Sus scrofa: one gene and its partners. The protein of the gene in region 3 interacts with the protein of the main gene of each other region in a pairwise test. Links are inferred from orthologs where the notes say so. Each region holds a gene or a part of one and is shown on either strand. Other genes may lie near its edges.

Region 1 (4,234 bases), about 57 Mb from region 3:
GCTAATCCACCAGAGCAAAATGTTTCAGGCCAGGCAGTGTGCGGTGTGGTTATAAGTATACCCTTTTTTCTTTTTTTTTCTTTTTTTCTTTTTTTTTAGAAAAATAAAACTCTTGATTTTGTACAAATGTACAAGTCCATGGTCTTTTAGACACTTTCCAAAGCTCATAACGTCAGGCGCTGGCCTCCAAGCACGCAGTCGTCATAGGGCAGCTAAAAGGGGAAAGAAAGGCATGTTAAACTTCCAGAACTTTGCCAAAGGTGCTGGGGTGATGGCAAGGGCTGCTACTGGAAATAACGCAAGTATTCTTGGACTCCGTTCCCTCTAACCCGAATCTGAATTAACTTCCTGGGCTGAAGTTTTCCTTTAAGGATCCTCTCCTTCAAAAAGAGCAAAAAAGCAAAAGAAAACCCCAGACCATAATCCTCCCCCTAAACCTACTCTTAGGACACTGCTTATGCTCCCTAATTTGAGATCCTCATTATGTTGAGACCCTCAGGAAAAGGAGGAGCTCTAGGGGTCCGAGAGCATTGCTTTTTGCAGACCCGTGAACAAGGTCATTGGGACTCACCTCATCCTCTGTGAACTCTGACTCCGTGTCATAGCTCTCCTCATCCTCGCTCTCTGGAAGCATCTGGAGGTTTTCTAGGGTCAGCTGGCCCAGCTGCTGCTGTATCCGAGTGCTTGGGCGGCCCCAGGTGAGCTGGTACGGGGAGTAGCCCTGGTAGGTGACTCTGTTGACATCAGCCCCACACTTCAACAAGAGCGACACCAGGTCGGGATTCTGCAGGTCCACCGCAAGATGCAGGGCGGTTCGGCCATTGCAGGGCTCCTGAAACCAAAAGGAATTTGAGATGCTTATGGCTGAGTCTGAGGTTTCTGCTAGCAGCAAGAGCATGTGATCTTATTGAGGGCTGAATGCCCTCCATCTGTAGGCTTGAAGCACCCACCTGAGCGTTGACATCAGCACCCAAAGACACCAACAGCTCCACAATGCCCAGGTAGCCATGGATCGAGGCTAAGTGCAGACATGTGTGGCCTAGAGTACCAAAAGTAACAAAATATAAGCACTTGTTGCCACCCTCACTTCTCAGAACTTTCACCTATTCTTTTAAGGGAGGAGGTCTTCTGAATTTGAAGAACCCAGACTCTGGGTTCTGAATGGACTTTAGTAAGGCATCAAATGCATACATGTTTTACTAAGACCTTGATGCATACATGTTTTCTCAGCCTTTCACGTGTTGAGAGTTTACACCTTGCCTTAAGTCGGCCCACCTCTCCCTTGTCTGTGTCACGTGCCCTCTGATGCATAGGGCAGCCAGACTTACCATTGTAGTTGGTGGCCTGCAGAATGGAGTGGAGGTGCTGGGTCCCGCGGGGCTGAGTCAGGACTCCCACACTGGCCAGGCAGCCCTGCTCACAGGCAAGGTGTAGAGGGGTATTTCCTCGAAAGTCTCGGAGCTCAGGATCACAGCCAGCTTCCAGAAGTGCCTCAGCGATTTCTGGCTGGTTGGTGATCACCGCCAAGTGGAGTGGAGTCTACCAACAGAAGAGGGACAGAAAGGATAAGCCATGGATCAAACCCACAATCCATGTTCCCCTTGAACCCTAGAGATATCCTGGTTGTGCGTGCCGCTCCTCCCAGACAGATACAAGGGGTTAAGGAAACAGACGGGAGACCCCAGGTGGGCTTCATAAAAGCCTCACCAAATCAATGGGATTTTTCCTTCCTCTCTAGGATGTTGGCTGATTCAGATGTAAAAGCTCAGGGCGGATCATGACTAGGGGCAGTTAATTGGGAAATCATTGGAAATAACTGTGCTAGATCCAGCTCCATCAAGGGGTCAGAGAGGCAGAACCCAAGAGGCACGGGGCGGGCAAGCAGCGCACCTGCTGCAGGTTGTTCTGGAAGTTAAGAAAAGCCAGATCTCCCTTCACTTGGCGGACCACTTCCATGGTCAGTGCCTTCTCTTCATGGATGATGGCCAAGTGCAGGAACCTGAGGGGAAGAGAGGGAAAACCCCCAGGGCTGGTGAGTGCACTGCGTGGGGCCCAGGGAGGCACAGCCCGCAGGGGATTGCGCAAGCCCGGGGTTTCTGGAGGCCGAGGCCGCGGTGTTTTCCGCGAGGTTATTATGAGCTGAGTGTTCCTGGCAGGCACCCAGGGACTTTCCGCCCCCCCCCCCTCCCCAGGCGGCGGGCGCCGGCCAGACCGCCCCGCCCTCCCGCCGGGCCGGAACGCCCTGTACTTCCCCTCCCGCCCGCCAGCGGGGCAGAAACTCCCGCCCCCCCTTATGCAAGCGGGGACTTCGCGTCCCCGTGGCCGCCCCGCCCCCGGCCGAGGGGACCCGCAAAGGTGGGTGAGGGGTGGGAGGTGTGCACGGCTGCAAGGTAGAGCCGCGGGACCACGGCCCCAATCCCCGATCCCCGGCTCCCACGCGCAACCGTGCACCTTTGCACAGCCTCGGGGTCCGTGCACGAACCCCGATTCGCGGCCGCAGCGCGGGCCCCGCACCTCCGGCTGCAGGCCCAGCGCCCCCACCCGGCCCCGCCACCCGGGCCCGCGACACTTACGAGTCTCCGTCCTCGGTGAGCTGCTGCTTCCAGGGCTCGGCGCCGCGGGGCGCCTCCTGCGGCTCGAGGCGGATCTCGCGCAGCTCCTTCACCATCTGCTCGTACTCCTCGTCCTTCATGGAGTCCAGGCCGCTGTCGTGGCGGTCATCCAGTAGCCGCTCCTTCTTGAGCGCGTCCCGGGGCCCCTCCATGGCCCACTCCTGGCCGGGCTCTGCGGGCTGGAACATGGCGCGATGAGGGCTTGGGCGCTGCTCCCTAGGTGCGCGGGCCACAGGCTGCGCGGCGCGCTGGCTGCTCGCGGTGGCTCGGGCGGGCGGGACGATGGCCTCGGACTGTTGTGGGCTCGGCAGCGCCGCCGCGGCGCCCTATAAACGCTGGCAGGGGATTTCTCCTGGGCGGGGTCAAGCTCGGGGAATTTCCAAGCCAGTCAGACCAGAAAAGAGAACTGGCCTCGTCCTCTGCTGGGGGAAAAAGAAGCCTAAACCCCGCGCCCGGGTTCATCAGAGAAACTCCCTGCGATGAGCCACTGGGGTCATGTACAGGGAACTTTTTAATGCACGCTGAGTGGCTGGAAAGTCCTCCCGACCCGGCCCCCTCCCCCGGTACTTCCCTGCAGCCTGCAGTCAGTAATCCTGGCCCTCTGCATGGAACCTTATTTTCCCTGGGGTTTCCCACGATCGATTTGATTTGGGGTCGTCGGCTGCTAAGATCCCAAGGATGGAGAACTGCTGGTTTGCTGACCTGCCGATGCTTTCCTTTTTTTTTTTTTTTTTTTTTTTTAATCTCTTGAAAATGGGAGTGGAAATGTTGGCTGGATCTAGGGATTCACTTCCCTAAACTCCTGGGGAAGGACACACTGAGGGTGGAAGGTCGCCGGCTGCCTCTGCGTTCCTACCAAAGACCAGGCTCCTGGCAGTGCAGGGACATAAACCTCCCCCTCCCTCAAGCCCCCCTCAGGTAGAAGTCGTGAAAGCTTTAGCATTAACAGCGTAAATGCTTAGAGAACCCTCAAATCATTTCCTCGGTATGAACAGTCCTGTTGACTGGGGGAGGAGCAAGCACTCTGCCCTGGATGCTGGAAAATGCTGGATATGACTGGGCTATTTTTCAGGGAAAGCAAGGTGTTAATTTTTATAGCAAAGGTTGTAGATACTTTGCAGTGACAAAATAATTACTGAGGTCGTGTTCCTCCATTTGCACTGTGCTGCTGCAGAGAACCTACTTGTGGGGGCCGCTTTCTAGAAGCATTTGGAGAAGGTGGCTAAAGAATGGGTTGAGTAGTATTTTACCCAAGATTGGGCCTTAAAGATGGCTAAGAAAGTAGTTGCCAGGCATACTGCAGGAGGCTCAGGGCAGCCCCAAGGTGGCCTTCATCCTGCCCCTGCTGGCTTCTTGGGGGACAAAGGAGGGGGCAGCAGTTGGACCTGTCCATGCCATATGGGTAGCTACTCCAGGTTCACCATGTCCAGGTCTCAGCTGCAGAAACAGAAGTATGCTCTCTGCCCCATCCCCACCTCCTAGCCAATGAAAGGAATGCATTCATCTACTTCTAGAAATGGTCCAGGCCCTAATAAAGCAACTTGGATCAGACTTTTTCAGAAGGCACCCCAGGAAGCTTTTATAGTTTTGCAGAGATTTCTCGTGATTGTTGCAATCATCTT
Region 2 (4,042 bases), on a different chromosome or scaffold from region 3:
CCCCATGGCCCGCAGAATCCGGTCCAGGATGGGCTGGGAACAGGTGGAGCACTTCTCCAGGGTGGCCTGTCAGGAAGGAGAGCAGGAAGGTCAGGGCTGGGGTGACCCATGGCAGCCCTTACAGGCATCCTGCCAGCTCCCCCACCTATTTATGTAGCCCCCTGCATGTGATTCAGTTAAAGGTGGCCTTGAACAGGTATGCGTGCAAATCCTAGCACTGCAGCTTCCCCAGACAAGATATTTAAGCTCTCAGACCTTCAGTTTCCTTCAGGAGTAACAGCTGCCTCACCAGGGCATTGTGGGGATTCAGCACATTCCCCTAAACCGAAAATAAATGCCTCACTCTTACAGGGGAATGTTGTCCTTTCTCTCCAGCAACCAGTATACAGCTACTTATTTCATCCATGCCTTTTTCTTTATTAGTTTTAGTTCTCCTGCTTCGAGCCTTATTCTTTGGGGCTTGGACACCTAGTTCCCACTCTGGATGGAAGCCCCCTGCTTCCTGCTGCTGACTCCATCTGCCACCACCCCCCGCCAGCCCCCACCACTCACCACATAGCAGCTCTCACAATACGCTCTCCTCTCCACGGCATAGAAATGCTGGCCCCGGAGATGGGCCCGGCACGTAGAACAGACAAAGCAGCCAACGTGAAAGACACGGTCCAGGGCCACAACCCCGGCCCCATCCCCAACCACATCTTCTCCGCAGCCACCACACCGGCCTGGGGACGGGATGGGTCAGGGTCAACCATAGACTGGGAAGCCAGACCCACTGTCTACCTGACCTCCCCCCACCCCCTGCCCGGGGTGTGTGGCGGGGGGCAGCTCACCGAAGTACTCCCCACTGGGCGGGTGGTTCATGTCCTGCACCAGCTTCTTGGTCAGCCTCTCAAGTTCCTCCTCGGGAGGCTGGCTCAGGGGGACCTGGGAGGTGAGAATCAGGGGTTCAATCCTACCTCTCCCTCCCAATACTGTCACCGAGAGTGATCAGGCAATTCCACCCAAAAGCTCACAGGAGAACACCCCAGCCCAGGGGCCAGGGGTGTGCCTCTGGGAGCCAGTGTGCAGATCTAGTCCCCTCCCTCCTTTATTTCCTGACCTGCCCCCCGCCCCCAGGGAATCCAGAGCTTGAAAACTGGAACATCAACCCCCACCCCCACCCCACCCAGTCAGCATCCAACTGTCTTTGAGGACCCCAAATCCCAGGGCCCAGGGCTTACCTGGGGCCCGTACCCGCCTCCTCTTCCTCCCGGAGGGCCGGAGACTCCGGCAGCCTCCTCTTTACCCCCTGGCCCTGGCTCACGGTGGCTCCTGTAGCCAGCCCCCCAGACTTCACCTCGGCCTGGGAGAGGAAAGTGGGGGCCGGGGAGGGGCCCCGAGGCCTGAGGGGCCCCCCGCCTGGGGGGGCCACAGCCTCTCACTGGTTGTGCCACCTTCACTTGCACAGGGAAGGCAGGGCCGGCGGGGGTGCTGGCCGTAGCATAGGAGGCCGGCGTGGGGCCGCCATAGGAGGCCGCTGGGAGTGGTGTGGGAGGAACACTCCCTCCATTCGGCTTCAGGGAGCCAGGGCCTGAGCGGTAGGCAGGGAGCTGATGGGGCTCATAAGCCTGGAGAGAAGCACAGACCAGAAGGCATGAGCTGGGCCCAATCCAGAACACACATCTGTGGAACCCCTGAACCCTGTGTCTGTGGCACCCAGGTAAGCACTGGTTTTGACAAGGGCCCGTCCTTGAGTGGCTGGCAACCTAGTACGTTTTGGTGGCCCAGCTTCCTCCTCGCTGGTGGGTGCATCCCCCATGTGGAGGGAGAAGAGGAGTGAGAATACAGAGCAGGAACCAGGTTGCGGGGGAGGGGTGGGGGACAAGGACAGGGAGGGACAGGAGCGGGGAGTCACCTGCCGGTCAGGCCGCCGTGGGGCGTGACCCCGACCCCCGTCCAACTCAGCCAACATGCTGGTCAGGGAATCTATCTCAGCATCCAGACTTCCTGGGCGCAAGGCCCCCCTGTCCGGGGGGAGCCCCTGGAGATAGAGCAAAAGCAGGGAGAATGCAACTCATATGGCCTCTTCTCCTGCCCTAAGTCCCCCCCACACCCCCTAATCGCGGTGCTCACCTGTGAGCGTTGGGGTGCTCCATGGCACCCCACCCAGGCCAGGCCCGGATCCTCCGGTCCCCCAGGGGCCTGGTAACACTGCTCAGATGGGAGGGGGCAAAAATTGACCCTGGGGTGGGACTGGAGTGCTGGGGTGAGGGAAGAGAGAGCCAAGGTGGGGATGGGGAAGGAGAGGAGGGTGACACTTGTGGAGGCCACCGGTCTTGGGTCCCTCTTCACCCCTCTCCCCCCGCATCTGGGGTCCGAGAATGGGGCAGGAGGCAGTGAGGGCTGGGAGAGGGCGAGGGCGGGGGCGCGGCGGGTTCCAGCCGGGCTTGGGGAAGGGGCGACAGGGGCAGGCTCAGCGGGAGGCAAGAGCAGCAGGGCAGAGTTGAGTGTTGGTGGCCCGGTGGCCTCCGCACCGCACTGGGGCTGCCTTACCTGCTCCGTGGGCTGGCGGCGGCCCGGAGGCGCCTCGGGGGAGCGCTCTCCCCTGAGGGGCTCTGGCGGGCTCCGGCTGCTTCGGGGGGAGCCAGGTGGGCCCGGACATGGTCTGGAATGGGGGACTCCAGACAGCGGTCAGGGCCCCACGGAGCCCAGGGCTCTGACTTTGACCCCTTCTTCCCCCCGACACCTCGCTTGGGACTCCAGGACAGAAACTTTTTCTGGCTTTTTTTTTTCCCCTTCCTCCCCAATTTTGGGGACGGCCACGCCCCCGATGACGTCATCGCATTCCTGGGGGAGGGTCACGTGGCCCCCTAGGCCCTAAACTGCCGTCCCTCCCCTAGTCGGCCCCCTCCTGCGAGCCGGGGCGGCTTTCCTCCAGAGCGTGGGCCCGGGGGGTGGGGGTGGGAGGCTCAGGCAGCCTCCTTTAACACGGGGCTCTTGTGCCCCAAGTCCGCACGTGGCCCCCTTGCGCTGGGATGCTCCAGTGCCCCTCCCCGCATACAGATTCGTCCCGCATTCTGTCCCCCCTACCGGCTCCCTCCAGAAACGCTCGGCCAGCACCTAGTGTTTTGGTCTTTTATTCACATTCAGCAGTTAGAAAAATAAAACGGAACAAAAACATCACAACCTCAAGGGTGAGGAGTCTACTGGGCAAGGGGCGGGGAGACTGAGGTAGCCTAGAGTCACAAGCGGAGACCCAGCCCCGTCAAGGCACCAGTGAAGGGAGGGAGGCCAGCGTGGGGGAGGGCTGCTGACTTCTCGCCAGTGGTGGCCGCCGGCTCAGCTGCCCTGGGCACAGCGAGGACCCTCTCCCAAAGACCAGGTTCCCCTAATACCTCCACCAGGGTCCGAGTCCCAAGTACAAGGAGGGCAAGAGGCAGCACCTCCCCTCCTCAACCCGCCAAGCAAAGTGGGCCACTCGACCTGGACACTCTCTACTAGGAACCGGCATCAGAGATCAGTGCAAGTGACAGGGGTGATGCCATGAATGAGCAGCGTGGGGCCCAGGTCATGGCTCAGAATTTCCAGCAGCGCCAGGTAGCGAGGGTAGCGAGAGGGATCAGCAGGCGGCCGAGGCAGGTACAAGAACGTGAGGGCGGTGGTGGGCCCTTCCTCGCCATCCCCACCCTCAGGCCCACCAGGCCCTCCTCCTCTGCCGCGCCCCTGCTGGGCCCGAACCAGGGCGTTGGCGCTGCGTGCCAGGGCCTCTGCCTCTGCGTCTCCGCGCCTGCCATTCACAAAGTCCCCCTCCTCCTCCTCCTCAGGCTCCTCGGACCCAGCCCCCTCACCCCACACAACCTCCTGCACCTCTGCCCGGATCCTCAGCTGGCTCAGCAGTGCCCGGAGCCGCCCCTCGGCTGCCCCTGGGGCCTCCCGAGGCCCCAGGCACAAGAAGATCCGGAGGCGGGCAGTGTGCCAAGCAGGCACCATGCCCAAGATGGTGGCCATCTGCAGCAGGAAGAGGCCGCAGACGTCCACGTAGCCAGGTCCACCCCGGGGCCGC
Region 3 (4,012 bases):
TATATTCAAGGTATTACTCAAGTACTTTATAAGTCTCAGGATCCCTGAGTGAAAGAGCAGACCAAACAGTAAAAATGATTTGTTGTTATGAACCTCTTGTTTTCATCATATACGGTTTTCTTGTAAATACTTCTTGATGTCCATTTCAGAATGAATTGAGCAATTCCCTTTGATTCTAAAACCACACGACAAGTGACATCCCTACGATGATGGCAGAAATCACCCTACCCTTCACGTAAAGGCACAGGCATTCTGGTGAAGAGGAGCTCTGTTCCAGATATTTGCGTTTGGTAATGTTCACAAATTCCAGGATTCTCTTCTAACGCAAACACACTGAAGTGGTGCAAAATGAAAAAATAAATGGCTCTCAATTTTACTCAAAAATCCAGATGTATAGTATTGATAAACAGCCATACTTCAACTCTCTCTATTAGGAGTGGCAAAATACGCTACCATTTAATTCAGTGACAAAGAAAGAAACACAGAAAAAGAAAACCCAATGCCTATAAAAACAGACATCTAAAAATTTAATGATTTAAAAATAGTCTCTACATACAATATAGGAAAGAGAGTAATACATATCGAACATTTTGGTTTTGAAAATGTGAAATGTCACCACTTAGCTTAGAATAAGTCCGTCATTTCCCAAGAAATACACATTATACAATGAAATTTACAAGGACATTTTCAACCACTTCCTTGATTTTCAGCAAACCCCCTTCCTCTGGCTGCACACACTTGTCCTATAACGACTTCTTTGGGCAGAGCAGGATTGAGAGCTGCAACAGTGGTTGTTTTGAAAAGCACCTTCTATGATAAGTATCACCGATTTTTTTTTTTTTAAATCTCACTTAGATCACACATCCCTCTCTCCTAAATCCCTTCCTGTGCCAATGATTTGGCTATTTAAAACAGGGAAGCTTAATTAAGTCAAGGCATATATTGCAAACCAAAACATTTTCAAATTGGCTGGACCAGGACCATTAAATAGAAACAGGACTGATAAACCACTGATGATCCTCTTCCTGACTTAGGGATATGCGAATATATCATTTGTCCCATGATGAATCCGGTGGCTTGTGGGGTGTTTGCGCGCTGCCAACCCCCAGCACGTACGCAAGGACGCAAGGACAGACGGCGGAATGGATGCTGTGACGAGCTTGGAGACAGGGTCATTGGCCAGACAGCTGTAAAGCCTGGATGGGTTCCATACAGCTGTTCTGAGTGTCGAGTCTGCACATGCACATTTTATGGAGGGTAGAGGATCAAGCACTGGTTCCCTTAGAGCAGGATGTGGCCTGGTGGCTCTGACGTTCAGGTGGCCAGCTTCCCTCGGCTGATGGGGGTAGTAGCACCTAAGGGAATGTCACGAGTCAGAAAGGTGTCCACCGACAACTGGCAGATGGGAGCATCCTTCTTTTTGTGGACGTGTCTTTGTGAATTCCTGCTGCAAATCATGATTTTTACAAATCTAAAAACATCTTCTGGAAAATCTGGCCCAATCACTCCCGAAGGCCGATGAGCAAAAAGCCCCGGGGAAACACGTGCTCTCCTTTTACTGGGACAGCATCCTGTCCGTGCTGACACCTCCCAGCCCTAACTGCGGACGTGGCCTCTAAATACATGCGTCACTCCTTCAGCACTGAACACATCAGAGTTTGGATTAGCATATACTCACTGCAACGTCCCCTCTCAGAGGGCTTTTTCAGCCAGACATGAGGCATCTTGCCATAATGTGCCCAAGACGGCCAAATTAGGAAGGGGTTTCAAAAACAGAAACAAGGCATCCCATGCCACCTTACTGGAAAGTGAACACCTGCAGATATGTGTCCCAGACCGGGGAGTGACAGGCTCAGAATAATCACGAGTACATGTAGCAATTACAATCAGCTGGTATGTTTCATAGAAAAAGAAAAAAAAAAAAAAAGCAGCATTGGGAGGTGCCTCCCAAGGTGCGTCTTACTTCTGGTTTTTAATGGAATGTATGAGACAAACGGACACGAAGACACAGTCCTACCCACGCACGCAGACGAGATTCTGTACACTCTCCAACTCAGATGCTCAGGTGTGTGCATAAGCAAAGAAAAGAAAGTCTCCCCGGGAGCTCCCTGAATTTCTGAATATTGGCTAACCCACAGAATGTTAACAAAAGTTCATTTTCGTATCAAATATCTACAAAAATAGAGACGCTTTACCAAAACCAGAGCCCGCGTCCAGGTGTCCGCGGCGGCCCGCTGCCCCCCGGGCCGTCTCAGAACGTGGCCATCTCCAGCAGCGAGCGCTTGAAGAGCTGCGCGTGGCGGGACAGGTCGGTCACGTGGTGGACCATCTCCTGCAGCGCCGGGGTGCTGGGGTAGTGCAGCGCGGCCGTCTTGGTGGCCAACACGATCGTCTTGAGCTGCTCGCAGAGCTGGTTGCTGGAGTTCATGACTTTGTTGCGGATGTCCTGGGCGGCCACCTGCCGCGTCAGCGTGTCCCCGATGAACACCAGTTTGTGCGCGCTGAGGATAACGAACTTGCTGTGCGCCACGAAGATGCGCGGCGGCTGCGCGGAGCTGACGCAGCTGAAGAGCGCGTCGATGGCGTTGAGCAGCGAGATGTAGTGGGTCTCGCACTGGTCGTAGTAGAAGCACAGCAGCTGCCTGTCCTGGGCGCCCGCGCCGCTGCTGGCGGTGGGGAGGCTCTGGGAGGGCTTCCACTTGGACATGTCGTTCTCCACGGGCTTGGTGATTTCTTGTTCCAGCAGCTGGAACTGACTCAGCTGCAGGGAGGAAAAGAGCAGACGGCCTTCAGGCTGCGGCAGGGGGCTGGCATGGACACGCAGCAGGGCTCCCCGTTAAAAGGCAGGGATTTGCATCCCTGCGCAGAGTCAGGGGCCTATTCGATGCTAAGCCGGGTCTAGCTGCCCTGCATTCCTAACCTGTGAAAAGTAGCCGTGGAGGGAGGTCCCATGGCCAGCAGCAGACACGAATCCCACTGGTAGCCATGAGGAGGCGGGTTCGATCCCTGGCCTCGCTCAGTGGGTTAAAGATCCAGCGTTGCCATGAGCTGTGGTGTAGGTCGCAGACATGGCTCAGATCTGGCGTGGCTGTGACTGTGGCCTAGGCTGGCAGCTCTAGCTCCAATTCGACTGGTAGCCTGGGAACCTCCATATGCTGCAGGTGTGGCCCTCAAAATAAATAATAAAAATAAATAAGTAAGTAAATAAAAGGCAGAGGTGAGAAAGATGATCCCTAAGGAATCTGTGGGTTCTGACGTCTGTGGTTGGATGGTTGATCTCTCCTGCCCTCAGCCTGGAAGGCAGCCCAGGGTTTAAGCCCAGCTATTTTACCTACACCTTTACGATGGTTAAAAGAGTTAATAGTTGCCAAGTGCTTAGAGCAGTGTCGGGTGTGATGCAGGCTCTATGAAAAGCTTTATCAAGCACTGAGTGGGGGCAGGGGAAAGCAAATGCGGGGATCTCTTTGTCAGGTCACTCGCTGACGGGTGACTCCTTCTGGAGGAAAGTCTTGACTTTGTCCCTGCAAGACACTTGGACAAAGGACCGATCCTGTCTCCTACTCTTTCTGTCCAGATTTATACATGTTATTATCCAGCAGTACAGGGAAGACATGCATATAAATATATGTACACTATGGAAAAGAATATCTCTAAGGGAATCTGAATGCTGACTGTATCGTAACACTTAGCACCCTCCACCCCGAGCTGTCAAAAGGGAAAAAAACCTCACTGAGTCAGGCTCTCTGAGTATTAGCATTCGTCCTTCTCTCTGCACTGCCCCCAGCTGGTGTGTTATTTAAATTGCAACGATAATAATTTCCAGCTATGGCACCACGTCTCTGGAGAGACTCTTCTTTTACAGGTAAGGACTAGTTAGTGACCGGAGTTTAGAACTCAGTCAGTCTTCTGCTGACGTAGGGCTGAGTCTGAGCAGCGTTAACAGCATCTCCCCCAAGAAATGCACAGCAAGCTTTTCTTTTCTGTCGACTCTGTTTTCTTAGGAATTACTGTG

Evidence for each region. The genes of interacting proteins can lie anywhere in the genome.
Region 1: the proteins of NEDD9 (region 3) and NFKBIA interact in binary tests that used the Homo sapiens proteins (3 or more experiments, as listed by UniProt). The two-hybrid records come from large-scale screens. The link is inferred for Sus scrofa from reciprocal best matches to the Homo sapiens genes NEDD9 and NFKBIA.
Region 2: the proteins of NEDD9 (region 3) and TRIP6 interact in binary tests that used the Homo sapiens proteins (3 or more experiments, as listed by UniProt). The link is inferred for Sus scrofa from reciprocal best matches to the Homo sapiens genes NEDD9 and TRIP6.

The regions. Positions count from the first base shown.
Region 1 is NC_010449.5:64,506,685-64,510,918, reverse strand, and holds NFKBIA (NF-kappa-B inhibitor alpha), read right to left. Parts: upstream 2,801-4,234; coding exon 2,574-2,800; intron 2,356-2,573; exon of another isoform or gene 2,006-2,355; intron 2,000-2,005; coding exon 1,891-1,999; intron 1,540-1,890; coding exon 1,329-1,539; intron 1,040-1,328; coding exon 951-1,039; intron 833-950; coding exon 572-832; intron 213-571; coding exon 165-212; downstream 1-164. UniProt on the Homo sapiens protein: Inhibits the activity of dimeric NF-kappa-B/REL complexes by trapping REL (RELA/p65 and NFKB1/p50) dimers in the cytoplasm by masking their nuclear localization signals.
Region 2 is NC_010445.4:8,711,979-8,716,020, reverse strand, and holds the start of TRIP6 (thyroid receptor-interacting protein 6), read right to left. Parts: upstream 2,801-4,042; 5' UTR 2,642-2,800; coding exon 2,533-2,641; intron 2,241-2,532; coding exon 2,113-2,240; intron 2,021-2,112; coding exon 1,895-2,020; intron 1,608-1,894; coding exon 1,221-1,607; intron 925-1,220; coding exon 831-924; intron 723-830; coding exon 553-722; intron 67-552; coding exon 1-66. Other genes in the region: SLC12A9 (solute carrier family 12 member 9), read right to left, coding at 3,490-4,042. UniProt on the Homo sapiens protein: Relays signals from the cell surface to the nucleus to weaken adherens junction and promote actin cytoskeleton reorganization and cell invasiveness. Involved in lysophosphatidic acid-induced cell adhesion and migration.
Region 3 is NC_010449.5:7,806,542-7,810,553, forward strand, and holds the end of NEDD9 (enhancer of filamentation 1), read right to left. Parts: intron 2,762-4,012; coding exon 2,252-2,761; 3' UTR 501-2,251; downstream 1-500. UniProt on the Homo sapiens protein: Scaffolding protein which plays a central coordinating role for tyrosine-kinase-based signaling related to cell adhesion. As a focal adhesion protein, plays a role in embryonic fibroblast migration.